5 linked regions of the Ovis aries genome follow. The protein of the gene in region 3 binds, or shares a complex with, the protein of the main gene of each other region. Links are inferred from orthologs where the notes say so. Each region holds a gene or a part of one and is shown on either strand. Other genes may lie near its edges. The genes, in order: TMEM107, AHI1, MKS1, TMEM67 and B9D1.

The links.
Region 1: MKS1 (region 3) and TMEM107 share a complex: the UniProt entries of both Homo sapiens proteins name them as parts of the tectonic-like complex. The link is inferred for Ovis aries from reciprocal best matches to the Homo sapiens genes MKS1 and TMEM107.
Region 2: MKS1 (region 3) and AHI1 share a complex: the UniProt entries of both Homo sapiens proteins name them as parts of the tectonic-like complex. The link is inferred for Ovis aries from reciprocal best matches to the Homo sapiens genes MKS1 and AHI1.
Region 4: MKS1 (region 3) and TMEM67 share a complex: the UniProt entries of both Homo sapiens proteins name them as parts of the tectonic-like complex. The link is inferred for Ovis aries from reciprocal best matches to the Homo sapiens genes MKS1 and TMEM67.
Region 5: MKS1 (region 3) and B9D1 share a complex: the UniProt entries of both Homo sapiens proteins name them as parts of the tectonic-like complex. The link is inferred for Ovis aries from reciprocal best matches to the Homo sapiens genes MKS1 and B9D1.

The regions. Positions count from the first base shown.
Region 1 is NC_056064.1:27,637,102-27,641,325, reverse strand, and holds the start of TMEM107 (transmembrane protein 107), read left to right. Parts: upstream 1-1,226; 5' UTR 1,227-1,383; coding exon 1,384-1,470; intron 1,471-1,628; coding exon 1,629-1,696; intron 1,697-1,797; coding exon 1,798-1,898; intron 1,899-2,632; coding exon 2,633-2,729; intron 2,730-2,963; coding exon 2,964-3,033; 3' UTR 3,034-4,224. UniProt on the Homo sapiens protein: Plays a role in cilia formation and embryonic patterning. Requires for normal Sonic hedgehog (Shh) signaling in the neural tube and acts in combination with GLI2 and GLI3 to pattern ventral and intermediate neuronal cell types.
Region 2 is NC_056061.1:60,811,053-60,815,512, forward strand, and holds the start of AHI1 (jouberin), read right to left. Parts: upstream 2,860-4,460; 5' UTR 2,739-2,859; intron 1-2,738. UniProt on the Homo sapiens protein: Involved in vesicle trafficking and required for ciliogenesis, formation of primary non-motile cilium, and recruitment of RAB8A to the basal body of primary cilium.
Region 3 is NC_056064.1:8,840,160-8,844,469, forward strand, and holds the start of MKS1 (tectonic-like complex member MKS1), read right to left. Parts: upstream 2,894-4,310; 5' UTR 2,872-2,893; coding exon 2,792-2,871; intron 2,291-2,791; coding exon 2,181-2,290; intron 959-2,180; coding exon 891-958; intron 453-890; coding exon 297-452; intron 1-296. UniProt on the Homo sapiens protein: Component of the tectonic-like complex, a complex localized at the transition zone of primary cilia and acting as a barrier that prevents diffusion of transmembrane proteins between the cilia and plasma membranes.
Region 4 is NC_056062.1:83,376,901-83,380,596, forward strand, and holds the end of TMEM67 (meckelin), read right to left. Parts: intron 2,871-3,696; coding exon 2,728-2,870; intron 1,789-2,727; coding exon 1,708-1,788; 3' UTR 616-1,707; downstream 1-615. UniProt on the Homo sapiens protein: Required for ciliary structure and function. Part of the tectonic-like complex which is required for tissue-specific ciliogenesis and may regulate ciliary membrane composition.
Region 5 is NC_056064.1:33,860,053-33,864,362, reverse strand, and holds the start of B9D1 (B9 domain-containing protein 1), read right to left. Parts: upstream 2,869-4,310; 5' UTR 2,849-2,868; coding exon 2,786-2,848; intron 1,436-2,785; coding exon 1,367-1,435; intron 618-1,366; coding exon 506-617; intron 1-505. UniProt on the Homo sapiens protein: Component of the tectonic-like complex, a complex localized at the transition zone of primary cilia and acting as a barrier that prevents diffusion of transmembrane proteins between the cilia and plasma membranes.

The sequences.
Region 1 (4,224 bases), about 19 Mb from region 3:
GTGATTATGAGAGATATTTTCCAAGTGCCAAGGCCATGCTGACCTGCTGTGTATTAATCATCTGGTCCTTAAAAAAGAAAAAAAAAAAAAAAGAAGAAGAAGAAATGTAACCCTGACTTGTATAAAGTTCTTTGTTCTTACAAGATGCAAAACTGCACTGAAAAAGATGCTTCGCTGGGGCAGTTTCTCAGAGTAATCGGGGAAAGGAGCTTCCAGGCTACTCCTTAGTTTGGCTCAAATAAAACTCTTTTCTATTCTTATTATGGATTATCCATTATTATTCTTGGGAGATGATCTGGTAAGAGGGTGGGGGGGGGAGCCTGGAAGTTGTGACTTGACTGTTAGCCGTGAACTCCGGCGAGAACTTTCCGTTCTACAGGAATCACCTTTAAGGTCCGAAGGTCCGTGAGGTCCCAATCGTGAGAAATGCTTGGACTATAGCTGGGCAAAGAGACTCTGCTGGTCACACCTCCAAGAGATAAGGAAATCGTAGACTCTGAATTTCCGCCTTCGACTCTTGCCTCCCAGGGACGCGGGGTTTCATTCTCTTCCTCCACTCCCTTTTCTGGTCCCGTACGTCCACTTCCTTCCCGCAACACGCCTCTCATCCACACCCTAGTTCAGGAGAGGGGCTCTTTTCTGTACTCTGCAAATCCCTCACCAATCTGAGCGAGCTGGGTGGGTGGTTGGGTGGGGAATCAGAATCAAGGAAAGTTCAGGTATACGGTCCGCCAACAACCAGGGGCTCCAGGACAATAAAGGGGCATCCACCTCTCCAAGTTCGGCCTAGGTCAAGGAGAAGCTACACGGATGCGGGGGATGGAAGAAAAGACAGTGTCCAGGGCTCGGGCATGTTGACGCCCTAAGGCTGGAGTGGTGGTGACTGTGGTGTCTGGAGGATCATCTTGGGCAAAGTAGCAGGGGCTGGGGGCCAGGCCGCTCCCGGCATGGGGATACAGGGAGGAGCGAGTGTCCGAATTTCCGTTCGCCAGTGCTGTGTGGGCAGACTCGGCAATGGGGGGCCGCGCCACAACACACTCTCAGGCTGTGCAGACAACTCATCTGCACGCGGGAAGGCCGGCAGCTCGATTCTCCGCATCCGGTCGGGATCTGCACAGGTATTGTGGACCCGGAACAAAGTTTCCCAGAGGCCCGGAGGCGGCGCGATAATTTGCCGCTCTCGCGAGACTTTCAGAGGTCCCGTCGGAGCCATCGTTTTTGCGGTTACTAAGGCAACTGAGCGGTGCCAGCGTAAGCGGGAAAGCGGCGTACGTCGAATTTTTGTCTGCTAGCTTGGGAGACTTGAGGAGTGACCCTCCTTGAGCTTCCAGCCCCAGAGACAAACGGCCTCTGCTCCAGGCGGTACCTCTTCCCCTGGGAACCATGGGCCGGATCTCAGGGCTCGTGCCCTCTCGCTTTCTGACGCTCCTGGCGCATCTGGTGGTCGTCATCACCTTATTCTGGTCCAGGGTAAGACCCAGGGCCCTCTTCTCGTTCCTCCTTCCAATTTGGGGTGGTCCCAGCCCCACTCCACCCTTTCTCTCCCGGGGCCTTACACGGTGGGGTCTTCCCATATCCAGCCGCCAGACCCTCTTTCAACTTCTGTTTCTTTCTGCCCTGCTCCCTAGGACAGCAACATCCAGGCCTGCCTGCCTCTCAGATTCACCCCTGAAGAGTATGAGAAGCAGGACATTCAGTGAGCATGTGGGACAGGGTGGGCAGAATTAGGCAGTAGAGGGAGTGAAGGGGTCTTAGAAAAAGTTCAGAAGGCCTAAGCCACTTCCTTCTTTTCTGCAGGCTGGTGGCAGCGCTCTCTGTCACCCTAGCTCTCTTTGCAGTGGAGCTGGCTGGTTTCTTCTTAGGAGTTTCCATGTTCAACAGCACCCAGAGCCTCATCTGTATCCTTTCTACGTGTACTCCTTTCCTCCTCGCCCTTGTCCACCATAACGCCCTTCAGCCACTTAACTAGGCCTTTCTGGCACAATGGCGTTTGCTCTAGCAGGCAAACAGAATCCCTCCTGTGGAGAGATGTTAGGCAATGTGGAAGATTTAATACAATCTCTGATCACTTTTTGAGCTCCTGCTACTCACCAGGCACTGGAGATCTCAAGATGAGAGTACAACAGTTTTCTATCTTGAGGAAGAGGCAGATACACAGACATCTGCAATTCAGTGTGATAAGCACGGGTGCCATCAGATGTTAAGATACAAAGCACTATGGGAATGCCGAAGAGACAAAGGAAGTGAGGAAGATGGATCAGGGAAGGCTCTCAACACCAGGGTACTGGAGAGTGATCCCAGCAGTGTATTGTGTCACTGTGAGCATGTCTGTGTGCTTGGAGTAGATCAGGAGTCTACTACTTCACCTGAAGGATCCAAACTAGATATGGGATGGAGGTAGCTTGGTTTCCCAACAGGGCAGGCTCAGCTCTGGCCTCTACACATGGCCATCCTAAAACCCAAAAATCTGGGCTGCTGGCTCTGGCCTTTGCAGTGTGGTAAAGGGAGCAAGAGATGCCTTGCTCACCAGGAGCTGATTGTGAATGCAGATGCCAGGCCCATCACCGGCCTTTTCTGGCTCATCACTACCTGTTGACCCAAAGGCTTTCCTTGACTCTGGTGTATTCCCAAGCCATCGGGGCTCACTGTAGTGCATCTGTGGCCCTATCCTTCTTCATATTTGAGCGTTGGGAGTGCACCATGTATTGGTACATTTTTGTCTTTTGCAGGTATGGTAGCACCTAATGTTTGAGGATGGGGAAGGGAGGTTTACTTTAAATCTGAAGATTCCCCTACCCAGCCCTTTGTTCCATGTGTAACATACCAGATCCACTCAACATTCCCGAGTCTTTTTGAAGTCCTCCACTCCTACACTTCAGGGGGTCGGGGGGTGGGATCGCTGGCTTGGGGATCTGGGTATTTTTATTAGAAGAAACTCTGAACCCATCACCTGCCTTCCTCAGTGCCCTCCCGGCTGTCACCGAAATAACATTATTCATCAGCGTCTTTGGCCTGAAAAAGAAACCTTTCTGATATCTTCGTGACTGGAAGTAGGGATGAAGGCTGAAGGAGCGAAGGACTACTCACCCTTCCTGGAAGAGGGAGGCTTCAGCCCTCCTTCTAACACTGCGTTTGGTGAACGATGTCAGTGTTAGGGTAATTATCTCTCAAGTCTGGGATTATCTGTGTTTTGTTTACAGTCCTTTGTAATAAAATATATTTTAGGGTAAGATCAAACTTACAGGAATTCCTGCAGGAATTCCCTGGCTGTCCAGTGGTTAGGACCCCACGCCTCCACTGCAGCGGGTTCAGTCCCTGGTGGAGCAACCAAGATCCTGAATGCTAGGCAGCGTGGCCAAAAAAAAGAAAAAGAAAAAAATCAAGACAAAAATTTCAGGAGAAAATTGGGGTGGCCAAACTACTATAGAAACGGAAGGCTGTTTTCCAGCCTTGCACTGTAAGACCCTAAATGTCGCTTCTATTCTAGTTATTACGGTAGATTTCTGACGGAAGGGAGTGGGCGGAGATATGTAAATAAGGTTATACTTTAGTACCTCGAGCTCTTAAAGTGAGTGAAGCATTCTGGGAGGGATTAGCGTTTGCTTTTTGACAGCCAAATGGAAAAATTTATTTTAAAACATCTGCAAATAAATTGAACAACAGAAGTGGAAGAACCTGGATAGCTTTAGATGGCTCGAACTAACATGTCGTTTACTCACCCTACCTGTTAGCGGAGTCTTATTACCGGAGTACGGAATATTGCAGTCCTCTCGGTATCGTCAGGTAGGATAATCCTTACCTGTTCCTCCTTTTGGAGGGCAGAATAGAACATGATGATTGGAGCTCGCATGATTCGTGATTAACGGCTCTGCGTAATCAGGACTTGCAACACCCTGATTGCTCCTATCTGATTCTTCCTGGCGATCCGTGATGTTAATGTACTTTACGATTAGATTGAGTTTTTAGTACTGTCTCCTTAGTTGTACTTGAAGTAGCGTCGGGCACGACTGAGCGACTTCGCTTTCATTTTTCACCATGCGTTGGAGAAGACAATAGCAACCCACACCAGTGCTCTTGTCTGGAGAATTCTAGGGACCGGGGTGCCTGTTGGGTTGCCGTGTATGGGGCCGCACAGAGTCGGGCACGACTGAAGCGATTTAGCAGCAGGAGCAGCAGCAGTGTTGGTCCTAATAGTGTCTGTAAAGTTTGGGGTGTGTTTTTTTT
Region 2 (4,460 bases), on a different chromosome or scaffold from region 3:
TGTTTCCTTATCTGTAAAGTCAAAGGGCAACTATTCAGAGGACTATTGTTAAGAGTTAAATGATTAAAACGCTAAAAGAGTGCCTCAGAACAGACATCAACATTAGCCACAACTATAATAGATATTTCTTACAGGGACACTCAGTGAACTTGGTGGGACATGCTGGGCTGATACCTGATGGATATTAAGCAGCTACAAGCACTAGCTCTATTGTTAGATTCCCGGTTCTACCTGTCAGTAGATTAATCTCTTTGAACCTCAATTCCTCATCTTTCAAAAGAGAATAATAGTAATAAATGACTTATCGGGTACTATAAAGATTAAATAAGAATATGCAAGTAAAACACTTAGCACAATGCCTACAGTATGGCAAGCTCTTCAAAAATGATAGCTATTACTATATATATATATATATATATGTGGGTGTGTGTAAGGATGGAGATACATATACATATAATCCATTTATGTTAAGTAGACAACAGAATATAGCAATCCAGTGATGAGACAGAGGATGAAAATTTGGGCATTATTTATATTTGTGATGATTGCAAGAAAAAAATGCTGAAAAGAAAATTTGGGGCCCACAAAATAAACTAAAAGACATCAGGCAGAAAATGAAAAACTGGGAGCAGTAACCAAAGGAAAAAGAGTTTCAAGAAAGAAGTGGTCTACACTGTGCTCTCGAAGTGCCTTGATCTTCATTCCTCCTTCTGCTTCCTGAATTTTCACTCTGATAAACTACCCACCCCTCCCCAACCAAACTGCTAGCTGTGAGAGGGCTAGGCCTATGCTCTCTTCATCTTTGTATTCCCATTTTAAAAGGGGGTGGGGCAGTAATAGGGTCAAAATGAGTCAGGCATAAGCTCTTGTTTTGATAATTACTGAATGTATGGCTTTGGGCAAGCTACTTAATCTCACTAAGGCTTCTTTTTTTTTGCCTGGTAAATGAAAATGGCACCTCCTTTATTATAAGGAGAAGAGGAAATACTGAAAAGGAAAAGTGACCAGCACAGTGGATGGCCCATTACTTTATGTGATTATTATAGCATTGCTGCTAAGTCACTTCAGTCGTGTCCGACTCTGTGCGACCCCATAGATGGCAGCCCACGAGGCTCCCCCCGTCCCAGGGATTCTCCAGGCAAAAACAGACAATTATGTGATAGACAAAACATAATTATGTATTTATATTATTTACTATTATTTAATAGTCTAATGTACAATCCAATTAGTAAACACTAATATTATTCAATGATGAACACAGCAAATACATTACAGAAATAATCATCTCTAAGCAGTAATGTGTACTATAGCAAATACCTTAAATAATGACTTATATTTGATAAGTAAGATCATCAAGGAAAATTAAGGTCAAACTTAAAAAGAAATTGTGAACTTCATATATGTCATTATATTTAAAAACTTCTCCCTCATAATCCCTTTAACAGGACCTGCTAAGAAACATTAATACAAAATAGGAAAACAAACTGTTACATTTCATCTCATTTTATTTTTTCTCTAAACACCTCATTATCAGCCAATAAATGACTAAAGATCAAGGAAAAAACAGGCAGAGGCTTGGATGATTCACTCCTTACTGAATTTTACAGCATGGGAAAAAAGGAAACAAAAACCCGTATACATATTCAATCAATAAATCAAGATAGTATTTATAAATATGTAAGATTATAAATACAATGAAAAATTTTGGGCATTTAAATTTCTTTCATATATACTTTTTAAGTTCACAGAGTCCTCATAACAAGCAATCTTCTTCCATAAGACCAAGCAGTAACAGCAATCACAAATGCAACAAGTGAAAAAACTGTTAGTATCCTTCTCTCAGAAGAAGGAAAAGTCATATACTCCAATCAGTAGATGTTTTTATAGTAATGCTGAAAAGTAGCACAGCCATTTGGAAGAGATTCCTAAATAGTATATATTTCCTTTTATTTGTATACATATTGAAATAACCCTATTAATGTAGCTAGACTCTTAGAAACGTAACAGATCGATCACCCTTTCTCAGATGTAATTAAGGCATTTCACAGGTTCAAGATTCAGCACCAAGATGACACCCTAAAAGGAAATAAATGTAGCATCTGATTTAAATGTATGCTGTTAAACCAGAATCCATCCTAAAGGAGATCAGTCCTGGGTGTTCTTTGGAAGGAATAATGCTAAAGCTGAAACTCCAGTACTTTGGCCCCTCATGCGAAGAGTTGACTCACTGGAAAAGACCCTGATGCTGGGAGGGATTCGGGGCAGGAGGAGAAGGGGACGACAGAGGATGAGATGGCTCGATGGACGTGAGTCTGAGTGATCTCCGGGAGTTGGTGAGGGACAGGGAGGCCTGGCGTGCTGCGATTCATGGGGTCGCAAAGAGTCGGACACGACTGAGCGACTGAACTGAACTGAAACCAGAATCAGGAATAGGAAAGGCAAAGACTGCATTCACTCTTTCAGGACAACACGCTCAACGCTCCGGAGAAGATCCGCCCAGAACAAGAGAAAAAAAGTAAGTACGCAGAGGTAACTCTCAAAACCACATCTCTCCACTCCGCGGCGCTGGGCCGGTCAGATTGCAGTGGCGCTTCGCGGCCCCCGTCCGCCCTGCTGGGCCCACCGCCCCCACGCCCTCGGATCTGAGCAGCCCTCCACGCTGCTGTCCCCAGAGAGGGCAGGGCAGGCCGAGTTCCCGGGCCCGGGATCCCGCCACCACCAGCCTGCAGGTTACTCACACAGAAGAGGGCGCAGAACTGCCGACAACGGGTCCCTAGGGAGCCACCACCCGGACCGTGCGGGGCGGGCTGGGAGTGAGATAGCCACCCAGCCACCCCAGCCGCCCGCCTCCCAGACTCTGAGTACCCGCCGGGTGCCGCAGGGCTGGCAGCGCGCCTCCAGCCGACGTCAGCGCCTGCCTACGGCGCCGTCCCCATGACAACCGATGCGGGCCCGGCTCTCCTTTTGGACCTCGGCCGGCCTCGGCGCCCCACCGTGGCTCCGCCCCTCCCGCAGCCCCGCCTTCTCCGGGGTCTGGAGGCGCTGCTGTGTGGCGTAGGCGGAGGCGGCGCGCGCGCGCCCTCAGATTATGGTGGGGCGCGCGCTCGGGGGCTGCGCGTTGGACTCCTCGGGCCCGTGCGGGCCGCGAAAGGGAATCTGTTCCCCTTGGAGCTGGAAGGAACCCTGGGAATACGCAGGTGCTTCTCGGAGCTTGCTACCGTCCGGTCTGTCACCCGGAAGAAGCTCTCTGCTCTTCAGAACTGTAGCCAGCTCTGGGAAAAACGGCAGGGGGCAAAGCCAGACGAACGCTGTCGTGGAACCCGCCAAGGCAAAGAAACATGAATGATGCAAAGAAATACACTTGTCAAGCCACCACCACCACCACCCTCCCCCACGCGATCGTGCCCACGAAATGAAACATCCTTTTAAGCGTGAAGAATACAGAATTGTACCACAGATCAAATCTTAGGGAAAAAAATTATTCATCTGGGGCTGAGTTATCACAGTTATAGTGAGATAACTATGTGTTTAAAACAGAACAGCAACCCCCAAAAGGTCATCTTCTGCTACACCCAGTGCCCCCTCCCACGTTCTAATTTTTGCCACAGGCGCCATCTCTAGCTCTGAGTCACCAGGGATGGAAAAATACTAGTCAAGTCACTCCAGGACTCTTGCATTTCCTGCAGTTGCAGTCACACTAAAACCTGTTGCTTCGTGTGGTAAGAGTATTATGCATATTTATTTGGAGTCCAGCTTTTCCATTCGCATTTGCCTCTCTACACACTTCAAAGCATATCTCATTTGTTTCTCCAAATCCTGTGAGAAGTTAGTGATAAATTTTAACCAACCCAGTAGATCCCCATCTTTCCACTTAAAATTTAATTCTCTTTCCAGGTCTCTATCTTGGCTTTATCCTCCCAGTTTTCTAGTTAAATCCCTGTAGATCCTTCCAAATGGCTTTTAACATCAAATCATGTCCATTCTACATTTCTAACATTCCCAGGGTAAGATCTGTCCATCTTAACTCCCACTGCCTTCTGTTCAGCTTTATCACTTCTCATTGGGAATGTTGTGAGATGGCCTCATTACCAGTCCCTTGACTCCAGTTTTGATCCCTGAATTCCAGTCTCCACGCTGCTGTCATACTGACCTCACTGAAAATGTGAATTTGATACCACTGTCCTGGAAATTGTTCAAAGATGATCGGTAGAAGAAAGTTGTGTTACTCTGCCTAGAATAAAAGACACACGATCTACCTGACTAGTTTCATCTCTCATTGCCTTGTTTCAGTCATGCTTCAATTTATATTGAATTGTGTGTACCACGCAAGATAATTCATACTCTTTCATGCCCTAGTTCTTGCACATGCTGTCCTGTCTCCTTGAAGAATCCTTCCTTGTAAAATCCTACTCCTCCATGTCTCAACCCAAATGTTGTCCATGCTTTGAATCTTAATCAGG
Region 3 (4,310 bases):
ACCTAGTGGCTGCTCCCCGCAATGTGCAGTCTGCAAGCCTAGCATTAGAGACACTGCTGGCTCCCCAGTCCCTCCAGCAGATCGGGCAGGGAGCAGCAGCCACATCACCCACAGGCTGTGCCCACCTACCTACTCCAGCCTGGCTGCCAGAAACACACGGGAATTCCTAGACAGGCTCACTTAACATGCTTCTGAGTTAAAACACGAGGCCAGAAAGCCAGGGGAAACCAAGGTGAAGGGAGCTACAGAGCATGGCTAAGTCTACCTGAGTCTGTCTACTTGGGAAAGAATGGTACCTCCTCCAAATTGGTGTATCTATCAGAGTCAGTGTAGGTAAAGATCCGTCGGTTCTTCCTGCCACCTGAATCTTCCAGCTTCAGAATCTCTTGATGGTACTGATGATCCAAAGGGCTCTGACAGGCGGCTTCATTTTGGTACAGATCTACTTCAAACTGAGGTCACAAAGAAACAGAGTTCCACTGAGAGTATTTTAATTTTGTCACTACAACTGTTTGGTCAAATACCATTTGTCATGATGTTTTATCTAAACTGATGGAGGACAGAAAGGCCAACGAAGGTTAGAGCTACAAGGAACCAGAGCGACAGTCTAACTCAATTCTGCTGTTATAGAACTGACATACCAAGACAGTGATTCTGCTGTTTCGGTATGCGGCCCAGAGGTAAAAAGCATGTTACTCAAGATCATAAAACTGGCTAGTGGCAGGCACTGCATTACACTGATCCCGTACACACAGCAGTGGGAAGCATACACTGTTGTAACCTTTCTGGAAGTCAGTTTGGTGATATGTATCAGGAACCTTTCCCTGCGACCAGGCAGGTGGACGTGGGCAGGGTGCAGGGAGATGGAGCAGACAGGGACACTAGCCCACCTGACTGAAGAGCTTCTCTTGCCACCCAATCACAGCCTCCTCTTCTTCTTCCTCTGGGCGGTGTCCACCTCCAAAGAAAACAGAGTGAGTCAAATGTTTGAGCCCAACTAGCACCACTTCTTGCTCTCTGGTTGGTTATAACCAAAGTCTGTGCTCTTATATTTGCCACAAAACCAGTTGGAGTTCACTGATTATGATGTACTCACTCTAGAGAGGCAGTAGATATGTGCAGAAGCCAAGGTTAAGACCCATGAAGTTTTAATCACCCCTCTAACTTTAATAAAAGAAATCACGTCCTCCAGGAATTATTTAATCTAATTCAGAGTCAAGAGCTGAAATTTAGATATAGGCTAAACAGCTCTTTCTCAATCCCAATTGTCTACATTTGCTATGAACCATGGCATTTTTATCTTCAATATTTCTGAAGCCATAAATCTAGAATCACAAACACTGTAACCTTAAGAGGCCAAGTATTAAGAGAGAAAAGGAAAGACATATAACAGATTTCTTTTTAAGAACCAAATCCAGTATGTACACTCCTAGATGAGTATGCCTTTTCCAAAGATATATGCTTCAAAACCCACCAGCTCACACTTTTACCCAGAAATATTTCTGAACAGAAACAACAAAAGCAAAGAGACTAGTGACCTAACACAAACACACTGTCTTCTCTTTCTTAGTTTTCTGGCTTCTCAGAGAAAGAAAAAGGCTAGAACACAGATAATACTAATATGTACATTTTCTGGGACTTCCCTGGTAGTCCCATGGTTGCTTTGCAGGGAGGATGGGTTCCATCGCTACAGGGAAAATTAAGATTCCACATGCCACACAGCAAGGTTAAAAAAAAAAAGTGCATTTACCATGCAGACCCAAATGTTTAACTTGTTTATAAAAAGTGTTTATATTCTAAGTTTCAAGTTTGGAGTGCTATTTTCTCAGAAAAAAGAAAAAAAAAAAGTCAGAAATGGCATTTGGGTTTAGAGGTAAATTTATAATATACCCAAAGCACGGTATTTGCTATTTCACTACATTTAACCACAGTTCAGATCAGCTTCTTGATGATAGGAATCATTTCTTGAATTCAATTTTCACACAACATAATGTAGTAGTTAAAACTGCCTGGGATCAAATTCTGATTTCAACAGTTAGTAGCCCGGTGACCTTGGACAAGAAACCCAACCTCTCTATACCTCAGACTATAGACCTGGGTCTACTCTGTCTTAAGAAGTAACCTCCGCCCTAGGCCCTTCCCCAGATCCCCAAGGGGCCGCATCACCACCATACACCCACTGGCCGTTGGGTGAGGCCTAAAAGTGGCCAAGTCTATGAGATCCTTCCCCAGCTGGGCAGCAGGCTGGCAATGGAGGTAGTTGCTTGATGTGATTCTTTGCAGGTGGACTCTGCCAGGAAAAGAGAGGCCCAAAATACTGTTACAAGATACACAAGCAGGAGACACAGCAAGGATGGGGAACAAAACACTGAAGAGATTATGGCTACCAGGAGATGTGGCCGGATGCAGGCAACAGAGGGGAGGGCAGGGGGCATGGGGCCCCAGGGAGGAGAGGATGCGAGAGTGTATTGCAGGGAGACAGGGCTCTGAGGAATTTGGGGGGCGGAGAATCCCAGGGACAGGGGAGCCTGGTGGGCTGCCGTCTATGGGGTCGCACAGAGTCGGACACGACTGAAGCGACTTAGCAGCAGCAGCAACAGGGTCCTGAAAGGGTGAGTCTAGGAAGTTGCGAGTGAAGAGGGTTCCAGGTAGTGAGGGAAACGCGAGGAGACCGGGGTGACAGCGGTCGGTACTGCAAAAGGAAATGAGGGCCCCAGCAAAGGAGAAGTGTAATTCAGGCTCCAATCATCTGAGAGCATGAAAGCACGGGGCTCTGGGGTGATGCGACTACCGGAGGCGGAGGTTGCGCACGGGGTCCCGGGATCGGTACACGGCCTCTCCGGTGTCACTGCTCCAGATGGCCTCCGCCATGACAGCTGCGCCGCGCACGACTGCGCCGGAAAGCGCACCGCCCCGGTTCCCCTGGCAACTGAGACGCCGTCCGGAACCTGGAACCCGGTTCCCTAGGCGGCGCGGCAGAAGCCCCGCCCATCGCGGCTGGGGTGGTCCTGCGGGGTTGCCACTGGTCTTTAGTGCGAACAAAGCTCGCTCACACCCAAGGCCGGGGTGGATGCGCTTGACGAATGAGGAAACTAAAGCAGCGCTGTCGGCCCCCATTATGTAGATTCGGACAGAAATGGTCGTGGGCCCCAAATCCGAGTGTCCTGAGTTCTCAGCGACTACTTTTCCCACCACATCGCAGTCTTACACTGAATCCTGGGACACTTTGGCCTCAGAATCGGTTAACGGGGACTCACAGGATGCACCCATTCTTCCCAGAGGAGTGACGGGAGGTGAAGACAGTTACCCAGACGTGAAAGTATTTTCTTGGAAGCAAACAAAAACGTCAGAAGATTTATTAATCCTTGCGTTGGCATTCACTGAACCAGAGAAAAAAGAAACAAGGAAGCTAGCAGTAAGGAAGGAAAAGATGTCATTATTGCACTGGTTTTTCCCCTGCATGTGTTATTTCCCCATTTTTAAGCCACCTTAGATACCGCACTGACCTTGAGAAAGTCAATAAAACGCCATCCTGAAGACGTTCTGCATTGGGCTGCCAAAGGCGGAACACACCTGTAACCTCGAGTCCGGCTCTCTGGCACCTTGGGGATGGCAACAGTTATCAGCCTTTGTCATTTGCTGCTTCTTGTCCCCTGAACCCAATTTGATTATATGGCATTGGGAGCCATCAGCAACAAAGCTGCTCTTGTATAACGCTAAAGACTCACTATAACAATAGCCCTATTTATGTAAGATCTAATAGGGCTCCTTGTTTATATTGTCCCTAATCCTCCTAGAAATCCCTTAAGTAGGTATTTGTTATTCTCATAGCCAATGAAGTTATTGAAGGCCAGAACTTAAAGGTTGAACTGGAGTAAGTGGTAGAGGAGCTGAGACTCCAGCCCAGGCCTGTCTTTTGAAGCATGAACACCTTCCACCTTTCTTCACAATGCCTCACCTACCAATTTATTCTGTAAGAGCACACAATTCCCAACCTGGGAAATGGTAATAATTATTTCAACAGGTGAAACCATGAAGGCAGAATATCAGTTCTTAAGAAAAAAAATAAATCTAATTTTTTCTTTTAAAATTGTGAATAGGCAACATTTTGCCATATGAACCACCAATGATAAAGTTGGAGCCTGAACCAACTTTCATTTTACACCAAATCTAACTTAGAGCAAAGTCAACCTGACATAATTATAAGCAAAGTACTGTATCACATGACATCCAAATATAGGTGATTTGTCTAAGAACCATAATTAAATTGTTTTTATACAGGTAAACTATATTTTTATTCCTTTTATTTA
Region 4 (3,696 bases), on a different chromosome or scaffold from region 3:
CAAAAGAGCTGGACGTGACTGAGCGACTGAGCACGCACGCACAGTGGGTTGGTGTTACAGAAACGGACAAAAGACTACAGGTCTAGCAGAGAATTAAGCACGTGATCCCAAAGTTTAAATCCTGCAATATGAACACAGCAGTCAACAATACAGGAAAACCCGAGCGCACTCTTATATACCTCACCAAAGTAAAAATAGTACTGTGCAAAACTACTTCAAATGTCTTTTCTCTGCCTTAATTTATCAGCAGATGAGCCAACTGACCTGTGTTTTAAAATTTCCACTTAGAAACATTCACATGAATATTAACTTCTCATATGTGGAATGAGAGTTGTTATTTTTTTCATAAGCTTCTGAGTAGGTGGCTTTACAAATCCAGGCTGGTATGTTTACTTATCTCTGAGCCTTTTAGAAAGGCATCTCTGTACGCCGACCCTTAAGAAAGCAGAATTTCAGATCCTCAACTTATTAGCCTCCCCTCTTTCTCCTCAGTCATCCTCAAGGTTCTGGTAACGCTTTTAAAGGATTCGGCTTCAGCAATGGCTGGGGACACCAGATTCAGTAGTGTATTCCTAAATGCTACTTCACAAAATACATACTAAATCAAACAGGAAAGAGAAACACTAATAATATGCTTTATTCTATATTTTCAATTTGGTAAGATAAACAATATTTACATAGCAATACATTTAAGTATTTACATAGCATTAACCAGAAGGCAGAAAAAAATGTTGCTTTGGGCATTAATGACCATTATACTTGAATAAAAGGTGACTTTCAAGTTCACAGTATACAATAAAAAGGATTATTAAAGAGTACTTTGAAAAAAAATGATATCATGCAGAATTATTGGCTATGTGGCTCAGGCCTAAGTTCGCTTTCAATAAACCACTTTCACATAACATGATAACTTACAGTTCATTTGTTATTTATAATCTTTAAACACAATTGAAGAGCAAATGTTTGGAAGTGCTTTTAAAATGTTGAGTAATTAAAATGTATAAAAAACTATCGGGGAAAATGTCACATATTACAGCTCAATAATATAAGTGATATTTATATATTATAGATATAAATACACTTCATAGAAACAGCATACTTCAGGGAAACAAAGGAATGAGAGTGTACCACTTCACAAACTGCCTATTAATCCAGTAGTGAATCAGTTCACTGCCAGAGTGAGCAACTGAGTCAGCCCACATACAATTTCAAATATCTAAGTAAACTTGAAAATATTTTCAACATTTATTTAACCATAAAATACGTAAAACAAAATGAACTGAAAACTAGGCTTGAACTGGAATCAATTTTTTTTTCAATGTGAGAAAATATACACAAATCTAGTTATAAAATAATCTTATAGACACAAATGATGGGGACTGTTTTGATTATCATTTAAAAAATGTTATGCTGAAAGCAATTTAGACTTTTTTTTTTGGTCCCATTGTCAGAGCTATCTAGTTTATGAGCTGGTGAATTAAATACCATGCATAACAGGAAAACAATATTGTTCATTGTATCATATTACATATTCACAAAGCAAGTTTATGTCTCTATGAGTTATAAAAATAAATCTTCCTGTAGATTAAAAAACAAATAAAAATAGAATAATTTGTATTACAAGTTTTAAAAAATATAGCAAACTGACTTGATAATCATGACCTTTTTTTTGGCCATGATTATAATTGTCCTTATCTACTCAATAAATTAAATCAGGAATCTTTGATCCACCAGTGTTTTGGATGCCAAATTCTTCTGTCCTACTGCATTACGAATAAATCTAAAAATCTGAAAAAAAAAAAAAGAAAAGTAAAAACAATTCAGAGGGAAAATACATATAAAGGAAATCAAATGTGAATGTCAGTTAAAATATCTAAATTAAACTAGCCAATTCTTGCAGCTATTTTCATGTAGCAGACACCTGAATTCCATGGTGATATACAAAACTATTTCAAGACTATCATCTTTCATAATACTGAAGCAGTGTATGTCCCTATTCAGAATATGTTTTAATAAATTAATACAAATCCCCTTATGTTCATAGGAATATACTTTGAAATATTTGGCAAGACAAGTTTCCCCTAGCTCTAAAATCTATGGAAATATCAAAAGAACTGTCAGGAACAAAATGTGTTCCTAATTCTAGATCTCTATCAAGAACTAACTCATCATACCACTAATTCATACACTACTTTGACCTAAGTGGGGAATATGTCGGTGATACGAATGCTAACATTTCTAGAACAAACTTGGCTTTTCTTGAAGTCTCCATTTCAGGTTCCACACTAATCCACGCAGCTGTTTTTTCATCCAAGCAGGTAGGTGATATGTGAATTGAAAGTTATACTGGCTGAGCCCTGAGCTAGATCTCAGAGTTTGCCTTTTGTAATGGTAACATTGGTGCAGATGGTAAATGGGATTCTAATTCTGCTCAATGCTGGCATCTAAGAGAGAAAGGTAACTTAAGTGTCTTCCTACTGGATTTCTTTCACATTTGGTCAAGCAACTTATGCCCTCCACAAGTCCTTGGTATTTCAGTGACTCTGAAGGAGAGTGTAAAATGAACTTGGTTGAAATGTTTTTCCTTTCTTTGGCAGGGCTAATCAAATTCTAAATCTCTATAAATTCTGAGTGTAAGTAGACACTGATACTCTCTGCAATAAAAATAAATATCCACTTCCCACATATTTCTCTTCAAAGAAATCCACAAAAAATTCTTAAATTTACCTCTTGTTGTAGATATGTAAGGAAGGCTGCTAAAACAAAATTTTGGCAAGCCAAATCCACAACACAGAAGAACATCAGATCATAAATAAGAAGAGTAGCTTCATTTCCATAATACAGAACATTGCTGAAAGAATATCCTTCATCTATTTTAAAAAAAGGCAATTAAGAAGATATAAATTAGAAATTTAAAAATAGAATAATAAATGTGATAAATTTCTGGTGATAAAACTTGAATATTTAAAATAACTAGTTACTATAATACTCCATGGCTATTATATGTCAATTATACTTGAATTTAAAAAAAAGAAAAAATATTTCATGACTTATAATAAACAAACAAGGGGTATTAAATTTGCTAATCTAAAACATTAACCAAGGAAAGTAGTTTTAACATTTGCAGCAAAAGCTTGGTAACTGCTACTAATTTAAGTATACAGTCTGTATTTTTCAATGATCAGATAATGAATGTCCTTTCTCTATTTGTTTACATAACTAAAGGTTAAAGAATCTTAGAAAAAATTCTCAAAGATAAGATTAAATTTAAAAAGCAAAATACACTCTCTTGTATAGCAGAGCATTGTAAATAAAAACACAGCATTGTAAATCAACTATACTTCAATTTTTTTTTTTTTAAGGCAAAACAAAACCAGCAAGGACTACAAGAGTGTGTTACAATTTATGCCTCAAACAGTTCCCCAAGGTTCTGCTCTGAGACCTCTTTTCACTCTCCAAGCAGGGGTGGGTTCATCCTTTTGGGGATGTGAACACCCTTTTAAAATTCTAATGAAAGGTACAGATCCTTTCACAGGAGGCAGTGGGGAAAGCACACACATATGATTCTCGCACACAATTTCAGAGAGGGCCAGAGCCTCTTCAGCGATGCAGTGGCCCAGGAACACCCAGTTAGGACCCTTGTTTTTATACAAGAGGGCATCTGGCTTGCTTATAACACTTTTTTTGATCAGGATG
Region 5 (4,310 bases), about 25 Mb from region 3:
CTCAGCCAAGCCCACGCGTGGAAAGCACGCACAACTCTGTGGAGCAAGCTAGGCTCTGCACGCAGCTAACATTCATTAAGTGAGAGTGATCACAGACGACCAGGTACAGTGGACAACAAACCCTGCAGATATTGGCAAGGAGAACTTTGGGAGATCAGAGGTAGGATGAGGGCTCGGTGCCCATGGCAGAGAGAAGGGCCTACCCCTGGCTCAGGGCAGGGTGTTGGAGGAGGAGCAGGGGGGTCGGGACTGGCGGGAGCACAGTGGTGATGGACGGGGGAGAGCTGTTGAGGGGCCAGACTGCTGAGCCCCAGACACCAGGCTCTGACCTTCGCAGGCAGTCACTGCCCAAGGTTTCACGCTGGGCTTCACCGACTTCCTCAGAACCTCGGAAAGGTCAAGTGCACACAGTGGGAAGGAGGGGAAAACAGCCAGGTGTCTGATAGCACCTGACAAGGCTGGTAGAGGGCCCCATGGATGGGCAGGACGAGGCCTGCAGACTCACAGCCGTAAGGGTTGGTGCTCTTAAAGGTGACATCGATGGGGAAGTTCCACACCAGCGCCCGCCTCGCATCTTGGCTCTTGGAGGTGATCTGTGAGATGCCCTCCTCCAGCCCCTGCAAGGACAATGACAGTGACGGCCAGTGTCCCAGCTCCAGGCTGCCATGCCCACCCACCCTACCTCTGAGGTGGCAGCTGAGAGCTGTTTTCATCACCATCTTCTGCCAAACAAAGGGACCTAAGATGTGACAGAGTGGCTCCCAGGTCTTTGAGGGTTTCTATCCATTAGGACCTGAAACCTTGAGGCCCCTCCCCTCTCCCGGTGCCCAAGCTCCACCTGCACCTCCTGCGGAATAGGGTATGGTCCAGCAGGCTGTTGCCCTCTCCCCTGTCTTTCTGCCTGGCTAGTTTATTCTACAGCCTTCTACTTGGCCCATCCCCCTGCTTCCTTCAGCTCTACGCTCAGTTACCATCTTTTTTTTTTTTTTTTTAAACTGTCTTAAGGAGGCCTTTTCTGGCCTCTTCATCCCTCCCCTTCCTGCCTTCACTTTCCCCTCAGCACCGCTACTAGCCAACAGCCTGGAGCGTGAGTCTGTCTCCCTCTCAGGCAAGTGGCCCCAGCAGAGCTGGGCTGGTCTGGCTTTGTTCGCTGCAGGGCAGGGCCCAGGAGCGACCACAGTCTTAGGGGTGGATCAGGGATCTCTGCATTCTCTGCTCCGGCCTCACTGGGAACAAACTCACGTGTGTGCCACCCCTGAACTCTTAACTGGTTCTGAATTGGGAGGGGAAAGGGTGCAATGGAGCCTTCAGAAACCCCTTCAGTCACAAAAGCTGTGAGTCTGGGAGGCTGTAGGGTCCAGCTTACCGCTGTGGGGGCCCAGTCCTGGCCATACACGAAACAGTACTTGCAGTAGAGGTCGTCGTACTCAGGAAACTGTGGAAATAAGCACACACAGCTTCTGCTCACAGGGACTCATGCTGTGACCACCTGTTAGCTAGGCAGGTACAGCCACCAGCAACTCTGAACATGAGGCACCTAGGGGGCGGGGGCTGAGAGAGCAGGGTGCATGGATACGGAGTTCATTGGAAGGTCTGGTCTCAAGATGTGGGATAGTCCAGGGACAGTGCTGCCCCCAGGCTTTTGCTCAGGCTCTGACATCTGTATGACGTGCCCTTCTAATGAGAAGTGAAGGAATGCCTTCACTGGGAGTACTCCTGCTCACCCTTCAAAACTGACACTTTGGGGAGCCTGCCGACTTCCAGGTTGTTGGAGCCACATCCCAGCTTCCACAGCCCCTGGTGCTCCATCACAGCACTGACCATGTTTATTCTCTCAGCTCCATTAGACTGTGAACAAGGGACAGGTATGTGGGCTTTCTGTGTCCCTAGCACCTGGCACAGGGTGGGCACTAAGGAGTGATGCTGAAGTGAAAGGTCTAGAAGACAGGTGCTCCCAGGACACAAAGCTTGGTGGGAGCCAATGGCCTGCAGAGTGGCCTCGAGCAGAGGGGAGGAAGAGTGGGGATGAGGGGCTGCTGAGAACACAGGCACACTGACCCAGCCCAGCTGAGGCCCCTGCTGGGATAAAGCAGAACAGGAGAGGCTGGCCTTAGGCACCAGGCCAAGGGGAGGTGGACAGGGTGGGGGCATGGGGCAGTGACCCTGATGAAACAGGAAGGCGGGAGATGCCCGCTAAGAGATCCCACGGAGCTTTACCTAGACCACCTTGGTTAGTACTCACAATATAATCATAATATTTTTAAAACAGCCTGGAAAGGCAAGTCCAGCAAAGCTTTGACATCAGACAAGGTTTGAAATTCGTTTTGCCACTTCCTTTGGGCAACTTCCCATCTGTAAAATGGGGGTGCAAGTAATACCTACTTCAAATGGTTGTTGTGAGGACTGGCTGAGCGGGGCTGGGCATGAAGACTGTCATATGTCATGTCTTCCAGTAGTAACAAACGGTTCTTAGGACATGCAGGGGACTGGAAAGCACTGTCCCCTTCCGTCGGACAGACACAGCCTCCGGGTCAGGACAGCTGCCACCATCGCTGTGTCAGACCAACCCGCGCCGGAGGGAGGAGCTGAGGGTCGCGGGGTGGATGGAGGCCCCTGCCCGAATCTTCACGTGGGCTCGGCCAACTGTGGCCTCGGCCTGGCTCAACGCTCCAGGCCTTTTTCCCCACCGCACTTCGTGGCGGAGGGTCCGCGCGATCTCTCGCCAAGCCTGTCACGCTAGCTCCCTCCCCCGAGGTTCGACCCTGGAGGACTCACGGCCGCTCACCTGGGCGCTCTCCACCTGCCCGTTGACCATGAGCAGGAACACGCTGGGGCCCGCGGCCGCCATAGCCGGGCCGCGCGGTTACTAGGAGGCGCCGGGTTGCCCTGGAGACGACGGCGTGGCGCACGGGACAAGTTTCATGGAAGCGGGAGCTTCGGGAAAACGCGCACAAGGCGCGGCGCGCAAGCGCAGTCGGAGCGGCGCTGTGCGGTGGGAGGCGGGCCTCAGCCGCCTGGTCCGTCTGAGGGGCGGTCCGCCCGAGGAACCCCGCGTGAATGTAGCTGGTGGTGCGGGACCTAGGCCACCGCCCGGGAATGTGTGTCCGCTCTGACCACCGCGCTGCCGGTTGGAGTGTGTGACTGGAGCCCGAGGCCGCCAAGGGGCGGGGTCCGGCCGCGCTTCCGAGAGTCCCCGTGGGGCCAGCAGCTCCCTGCCTCGGGTCTACAGATGCTCCCTCGTGCCTTTGAGACCCTCGCCTCCCAAAAGTTTATTAGACCAACCGAGAAGGGACCTGGAAGGTCCTTAAGCCCAAGACTGCAGGTCTCCGCGTGACGCGGGAAAACGGGCCTCTGAGTGGCCGCCCCGGCACCTTGCCGGCGGGGAGGGGCGAGCCCGCGGGGCTCGGCCGTCCGCCTGCTCTCAGCGCTCCCCACTGTTCGCTTTTGCACATCGATTACTGTGATAGCTCCAGCCAGTGCCGCCTCTCCCCTGAGCCCTACGCCACGAACACCGGGTCTGGGCCACCCCCGTGTCCCGGTTGCCTGAGCACTGGTGGCAGCTAGTGGAGTGGATGGATAATTGAGTACGTCTGCTGTACTAGCTGCCAACTCTGCTAAGTCGCTTCAGTCGTGTCCGACTCTGTGCGACCCCATAGACGGCAGCCCATCAGGCTCCCCCGTCCCTGGGATTCTCCAGGCAAGAACACTGGAGTGGGTTGCCATTTCCTTCTCCAATGCATGAAAGTGAAAAGTGAAAGTGAAGTCGCTCAATCGTGTCTGACTGGTAGCGACCCCATGGACTGCAGCCTACCAGGCTACCCCGTCCATGGGATTTTCCAGGCAAGAGTACTGGAGTGTGAATACGTCTCCGTTGCTCATTATCAAAGCTATGGTTTTTCCAGTAGTCATGTATGGAGGATGTGAGAGTTGGATCATAAAGAAGGCTGAGTGCTAAAGAATTGATGCTTTTGAAGTATGGTGTTGGAAAAGACTCTTGAGAGTGCCTCGGACAACAAAGAGATCCAACTAGTCCATCCTAAAGGAAATCAGTCCTGAATATTCCTGGAAGGAATGATGCTGAAGCTGAAACTCTGATACTTTGACCACCTGATGTGAAGAACTGACTCATTGAAAAAGACCCTGATGCTGAGAAAGACTGAAGGCGGGAGAAGAAGGGGACAAAACAGGATGAGATGGTTGGATGGCATCAGTGGCACAATGGACATGAGTTTGAGCAAGCTCCAAGAATTGGTGATGCACAGGGAGGCCTGGCATGCTGCAGTCCATGGGGTCACAAAGAGCCCGACACG